2 linked regions of the Oryzias latipes genome follow. The protein of the gene in region 1 purifies or fractionates together with the protein of each later gene. This does not show direct contact. Links are inferred from orthologs where the notes say so. Each region holds a gene or a part of one and is shown on either strand. Other genes may lie near its edges.

What was found.
Region 2: the proteins of ryk (region 1) and pcdh7 purify together in Homo sapiens (affinity purification with mass spectrometry; 3 studies listed by BioGRID and IntAct, with this or other methods). This does not show direct contact. The link is inferred for Oryzias latipes from reciprocal best matches to the Homo sapiens genes RYK and PCDH7.

The regions. Positions count from the first base shown.
Region 1 is NC_019862.2:2,768,252-2,771,906, reverse strand, and holds part of ryk (tyrosine-protein kinase RYK), read left to right. Parts: intron 1-728; coding exon 729-838; intron 839-956; coding exon 957-1,116; intron 1,117-3,655. UniProt on the Homo sapiens protein: May be a coreceptor along with FZD8 of Wnt proteins, such as WNT1, WNT3, WNT3A and WNT5A. Involved in neuron differentiation, axon guidance, corpus callosum establishment and neurite outgrowth.
Region 2 is NC_019876.2:16,449,598-16,453,252, forward strand, and holds part of pcdh7 (protocadherin-7), read right to left. Parts: coding exon 2,540-3,655; intron 1-2,539.

The DNA.
Region 1 (3,655 bases):
CCCCCCTTGGGGCAGGAGCTTTCCACCCAAAGAGGGCAGACAACCTTTCTCCAGTGTAGAATTATGGTCTCCACCTTGGAACTGTTCTATTTTATTCAGCTGCTTCACACTAGACTGCACACCACCCCAGTGGCACTGATGGCCCTGGTTGGACAAAGGCTTTAGAACAACATCATCTGCTGACCCCATAAAGATTATGAACAGAACCAACTGAAGAGGGGTCCAATGTGAACTGGGAACAGGTTCGACTTCCCGCTAATACAAGCCGAACTACCGCTCTGTAGTAGGGGGCCCCAGACTCCACATTCCCATAGCTCCTCCCACTGAACACTGTGGGGGAGAAGATGAAAAGCTGTCTCCAAATCCACAAAGCCCAAGTGGATTTGACATGAGAACTCTTGTGAACCATCCAGCTCTCTGCCTAAGGTGTACATCTGATCTGCTGTTCCAGCATCCCATACTCTGAGGGGCAAAGTTAACAGTAATAAAGACAAACGGTCGGCAATCCACAGAGCAACCAAAAGCACGCTTTTAATTACACATCACATACATCAAGGAATTGGTTGGTTTTTCGTCATAACGTTCATGTGTGACGGCGGTTTTTGGCTCAGTGTGAAGGAAACAGGGAGGCTGGAGCTACTAGCTTGACATTTCCCACTCCCTCTTGTTTAGTTTTCCTGTCTTTCTCTGAAATGCACATTGACACTCTGTCTCTCATTTCCTTTCAGGCCATCTCTCAACAGGACTTGGTTTACATGGCCATCCAGATCGCCTGTGGAATGAGCTACCTTGCACGCAGGGAGGTCATACACAAAGACCTGGCTGCGAGGAACTGCGTGTGAGTGTCCCTAAAGCGCCTCTGGTTCTTCCTCGCAGCTTTCAGGTGACTCTTGTTTTGGGATTTGGTTAGGAGCTAAGGAACACACCTGTTCTGTCCCTTGTCCTCCCTCTGACAGCATTGACGACAGCATGCAGGTGAAGATTACAGATAACGCCCTGGCTCGAGATCTATTTCCCATGGATTACCACTGTTTGGGGGACAATGAGAACCGACCCGTTCGTTGGATGGCCCTGGAAAGCTTGCTCAACAACGATTTCTCCAGTGCCAGTGATGTGGTAAGAATTACAGCAGCAGAAGAAACCTTCCTGTCTTCCAGTAGGATGTACTTTCAGGAAACATTTCCAGACGATGGTCCAGGAAACGACTTTAGCGTGTCTTAGTCTTTCTGAAATTCTTGGTCAAGGTGTTAAAAGGGAGGCCCCCCACCCCCGATGCTGCATGTGTCCCTGCTTCTCCCTTCCTTCCTGTCCAGAGACAGCAGAGTGGCGAAGGCAGTGGCTTTCGGGAAGCCTGAAGCCCCTCGGAGGCTCTGACATGCCCTCCACCCGCTGCCAACATTCCTCTTACGGTCATGCTGCTTTGTGGCAGCCATGGTTGTAAAGCAGGAAGCTAAGCGCCTGTTGAAATCCTGACATGCGGCTGTGCATCACTGCTATGCAAATAAATAGTCACTGGCCGTGTTTTTGCTTGCGTCTGTTAGAGCACCGTGTCATCGTGTTGGCATCTTGCTGGGAATGGTGCAGTGGGAAGTCCTCTCACTGCGTGGATGTTCTTTCTTTTCTTCACACCCGTTTTCACCCAATCACAGCTGCTGATGTTCTGAAACCCATCCATACTTTGGGAGGGGGGTACGGATGCCAGGTTACTACCAGCTACTTTGGTTTCCTATAGATTTAAGCTTGACCTTCACTTCTTCCATAGGGTCATTTTGCTAAATTTTTTTTCTCCTATAAATTTATAATTGAGTAACAGACGGGGATTCTGACGCACAGCAGAATATATTAATATAACATTCCAAAATGCAAACCTAAGATTATAGCCTTTTAGGCTCCTTTCCATCTTTAGTTCCTATAGAACAGGTTGATGGTCTTTAAAGAAAAAGGTGAGTTAAGTCAACACAGAAGAGACACAGATGGGGATGTCAATAGAACAACACAACAGGGAATTCATTGACATAGAAGCAACAATTAAGGGGGGAAAACATACAATATAAATGTATACAGATGTGTGGGGCAGTTTAATTGTCTAAAACAGCTCAGAGTTGTCTTGTAGATGCCCCGACTGAAGGCGCTTGTCCTGAGGCGAGCAGTGCAATCACCCCTGGATACTGCTCCAGTAGCCCTGTTTGGGACTTTTGTCTGTAGTTTGCACCCTGGGTCTTCACGGCTGACATGACCTTGGATACAATGAGAGAACCTCAGGGGCGGCCGTGGTGCAGCGGTAGGGCGGTTGACCCATGATCGTAAGATTGCAGGCTCGATTCCCGCCTTGCACGCCCATGAGTCGATACGTCCTTGGGCAAGACGCTGAACCCCACCTTGCCTCTGGTGGGAGGTTGGCGCCATTGTTCAGCGTCGGAGCCGCCACCAGTGTGTGAATGTGTGTGTGACTGTAAAGCGGTTTGGGCCTTGTAGGTAGAAAAGCGCTATACAAGTCAGTGTTTTTCAACCGGTGTGCCGTAGGAGATGGTCAGGTGTGCTGTGGGAAATTGCCCTCATTCACTGATCTAAAAACATTTCCATCTCCAGGAAATCAGCTCTTTGTTCATCCAAACAGGCCCTGATAAATCACTGAGTAGTTAGGAATATGAAAGATCATAAAATACTTTTTTCTTGTGTTTATTTGATTCTATTAAAGACATTTTGATAAGAATGACGGTACCACGATTTAGCTGCAGCATCAGCTGTTTTCGGAACAGTCCCGCCCCTTTAACTGTCTCCACCAATCATTCTTGGAGGCTTAATCACACATCATCAGTCTGACCAATCAGAAGTGGTTAAAGTCTTCACTTCCTTGTTCTGATTCTGCTCATAAGTCTCTTAGTTCGAAAAAAAAAAACAAAAATACCAGCTAAAGCTCGTCTTCAGCGGTGTAGCTTTCCACAGAATCCGGTGTCAGACCGTGGAACAAGTGAACAAAACCATGAAGCTCAGAGACGTTAGTCCGTCTGCGTTTGCCAGCTATTCGCACTACATCTCCCATAATGCATTGGGTTAAAGTGACAGCGTCTCAGCGCACAATGAGTCTTGACGTCTTGAAACCACAACCCACACGCATCAGTTTTTAAATTTTCTAACTTAACTTTTATTACATCTTTCAGAAAAAACAGCTGCAGCTTCCAGCTTTTTCTGCAACAATTATCTCAAAAATGTATGTGAGATTGTGGAGGGACTGTAGATCAATACAGACTATGAGTTTATCCTTTTTTTCTTTTTCGATGCTGGTGTGCCGCGGGATTTTTGTCAAGGTTAAAGTGTGCCGTGGCTCAAAATAGGTTGAAGAACACTGGTATAAGTATACACCATTTACCATTTGCTATTATTGGTAGAAAAAACAGGTTTGATTGAAAACTCCAAAAAGTTCCCTTCTGGGCTTAAGAAAATAAACAAAGAGTGAGAAGAACTGCAGTAATTATTGTTCTCATTCCTTAAAAGAAGTGACTTCTGAAGATGCATCCTGATAGTAAAAAGATGTTTGTGTCATACTTTGTCATGCTTTGAGACTGAACTGTGGCGGGAAAAATCCTGATTTCCTATTAACCCCCCCCCACACACACACACACACACACACAGAACAGGGACCTTTACAGTTCTG
Region 2 (3,655 bases), on another chromosome or scaffold:
AAGCAGGTTAAAACAGGGTGGAGCATAACGTCTACGGCCAAAAAAGTAGCAAAGGAAATCACAAGACTATTAACTAAATAAAAGTCAGATTAGGCAACGAACAAAATCTTATTTCATTGACACTCATTAAGTGGTGGGCTAGAAGCAAAGATCTGCTTTCCCCCAGTTGCCTAGTTACCTATTCCTGCAAGTTATCTTGGGTAGAATGGTGTGTTCAGGTGAGAGAAGAAGGGCACTAAGGCGAAATCTTATATCTCTATGACCACAATTAGTGTTTAGCCCAATTGGTTCTCACCGTCATCTCTAGTTGTCCAACCCAACCTGGAGTCCCAAAAAGAAAAAGTGAGAGCCATTCTCTGCAACTGAGTCTATCTTTTCATCCTCAAAAAAAGTCTGGAATACTAATATACCACAATAAAAAATAAATAAAACACCACAGAATATGTTTAATGGCCAAAATAAAACACAAAAACTGCTGTTTTTATTTGAGTTTTTATGCTTAAAGCGTCCCCTATGATTCAGGTTTTGACACCATGCTTCCTCCGACCCACACACACACACACACACACACACGCACAAACACGTGTCCTTGAGTGTTGTCTCAAGCTCAGGAGGCCAGACAAAAGCATATATTTTTAGACGCAGTGTCTCTAAAGCCAAGAGCATGACCGCTTCCCCGCCTAATCTGATAAAGATGTAGCTGTTTAATGCCATAAATTGGAGCACATGAGCAAACACCTTCCCTTCAATTAGCTGCCGTTGCACAGCAATCGCGCTCAGGATTGAGAAAAGTCTTTACTGTCTGGGATTTCCCAACCTAATGGGTACAAATTTGTAATTCGAATAACTGCTGGATGCTCTATATTTGATTACGAACCCATCTGCGCGGCCCGGTAGATACAAACTATGGTGTATTTCAAAGATTACAACTTTATTCCACTATATTTTCACTTTTGAATGGTTCCATGAGAATTCCTGCAGCGTTAATGCAGAAAGTAAATAAATAATTATATAAGCGGAGCATAGTGACACACAATATATGCTGCTGCCGCAGCAGCAAATAGAGTGCCCTTTTAATTATGCAGGAGACATCCGAAAGCAACAGCACTCCTCACACTCCGGGAAGCAGCTCAGTGAATACACCATATTAGAGGCTGTAACAGACAGAGAGCCTGGGAGGGAAAAAAAAGGGAAGGGGAGAGCTGCGGGGAAAAAAAAAGGGAACTGAAATGATTTGAGATGAGAAATAGTGGTGAAAAAAAAAACCAGATGGGAGTTACAGAGATGTGAAGACAAGTCAAGGCACAAGCACACTATTGTAAGTAGTATGATGCAGCAGAGGCTGGGGGGGGGGGGGGGGGGGGCACTGGACCAAAGGCGGCAATTGGGGAAGTACAGGATACAAACGAGTTCTATACTCGACCATTGATGGATGGGGTTTAAAACAGAGACCCAACAACGGACGCTTATTGGATATGCGATGACCGGAGCAATACAAGTCTTCAATGCCAAAGGAATAGAACTGAAATAAAGTAAAAGAAAGATCAATATTTCATTAAAACTGTAATGTACAGGGATGGTGTTATTGTCCCTTAAAAAATAAAGAAAAAAAACCCAAAGAAAATCGACTTGTTCTAGAGGGTTTAAAGGGAATGTCTCTCTACCGTTGTAGCGGAACATAAGGATTGTTTCCCAAATCTCATGGAATTAAAATCTCTGATCAAATACAGCCTCCAACTGTAAAACTTTGGTTGGAGGCTGTGCAAAAAAGCTATACAAAAAAAGTAGAAAAGAGGCCAGAAGAGGTGGATATTTGCACGCAGGCAAAAAGATAAGACGCTGAGTTGCAGTGACGATGTGAGAATGTTGCTGTCCGATGGATTGATGCAAACCACAAAGCAAGGTGGAATGTTAATTAGGCCTCCTGGTTAGGCGTTTCCCCTCTAACAGCAACTCTAATAGTTATAAAACCACAAGCAAGTTGATTTTTCAACCTTTTTTCAAATCTTCTGTTCCTCACACCTTCCCTTTCATAAGACGAAAGGGCAAGCAGTGTAACCGCCAGAGGGGGCAGGTCATGGCTTGACACTTCTAAGGACAGTGAGGGGATTGTTGCCAGCTCTCATCACCCAACCTTTGGGATGTAATAACTGCAAACCAAGTCCTTATGTGAGCTGTCTGCAACCCTCAAACACATTTTTGCCGGGGTTAGTAGCTTTGACGCCCCTGACGGAAAAGGCAGCCTGCGATGTGAGAGAAAACAGTCAAACATGTTTAGTCGAGGGGGTAACCGAATCCCCTACCCAGCCCTCTCTGAACCTTTTCCATTTCTTCCCACATAACATGTGAATGGCACTCCAAACCCCAAACTGATCAATACCACTAACTTGACACACATTAGCACCATAAAGGCAACAAGACTACTGAGACTAGCACTGTCAGAAAGCATTATGGTGGAAAGGACACTAAGAAGAAGAAGCAGGAGACATTTAGGAGTGGTGGAGGGAAACAAGGGACAACTGACGTGAGCTTTTCTTACCTGTTTGTTGTATTTGTTGATCGTCTGAGTGCTGTACTCGGAGCAGTGGTCAGATCCGAGGGAAATGTTATCTCCGGTGCCGACAAAGGTGTTGGCAGGGGGCAAGTCCTGAACTGCCTGGTGCTTTTTTCCCGCTGTCGGTGACTGTGGGTGAAGTTGGACGGTGGGAAGAGGCGAACTGGACTTGTAGTGCCGTGCCAGGTCTGGGCTCCCCGGCCCGCCGTTCACCGAGCGGTACCTGCCCATGCCGGGGCTGTCCGACAGCTTCTCGCTGACGCCATCGTAGCGCTGCCCATTGGGTTTGGAGGCCTCTACGGTGACGATGCTACTGTAGAGAGGCTGTTTGGACTTTTGTTTCTTTTTATCCTTTTTAGGCTTTTTAGACTTCTCATGCTGCTGCGGCGTAAAAAAGTCTTCGTGATCCTTCTTGCCAGCCTCGTAGCCGTTCTTGTTTTTTGGACGGCAATAACGGGCCATAACAACGACCAGAATGATGAGGATGACAGTCATAATGCCTGACACCACTCCAATTACAATACTCAGACGCTGTTTGCTTAGATCATAGTTGGGGTCCCCTGCAATGTTAGTGTTCAGAGATGTGCTCAAACTCCTAGCCACTTGGGTCTCCACTATTGTGGAGTTAGATAGAGTCTCATTAACATACACATGAACCAAGGTGGTGGTGCTCTGAGAGGGTTGCCCATTGTCAGTCACCTGGACCACTAGTCTGTGGAGGCCATAATGCTTCTGCTCCAGCTTAGCCATCAGCGATATGACCCCAGTCGCCCCATCAATCTCAAAAAGCCTGAAGGGATTTCCCCCGATGATGCTGTAGTTGAGGTCTGCATTTATCCCAGTGTCTGTATCTGTGGCTATTACCGTTCTGACCACCGTCCTGACAGTACTTGAGGGAGGAAGGAGCGTGTAGGAGCTGTTTATGGGGAAAGTTACTGTTGGAGCGTTGTCATTTTCATCCATGACAAAGAGCGAGACCGTAGCAGTGGCTGATCTGGGAGGGTCGCCCCCATCCACAGCTTTGACGCGAAATGTGTACGTAGTTTTCTGCTCTCTGTCAAAGGACAGGGTGGAAAAAATGGTCCCAGTCTCATTCTCGAT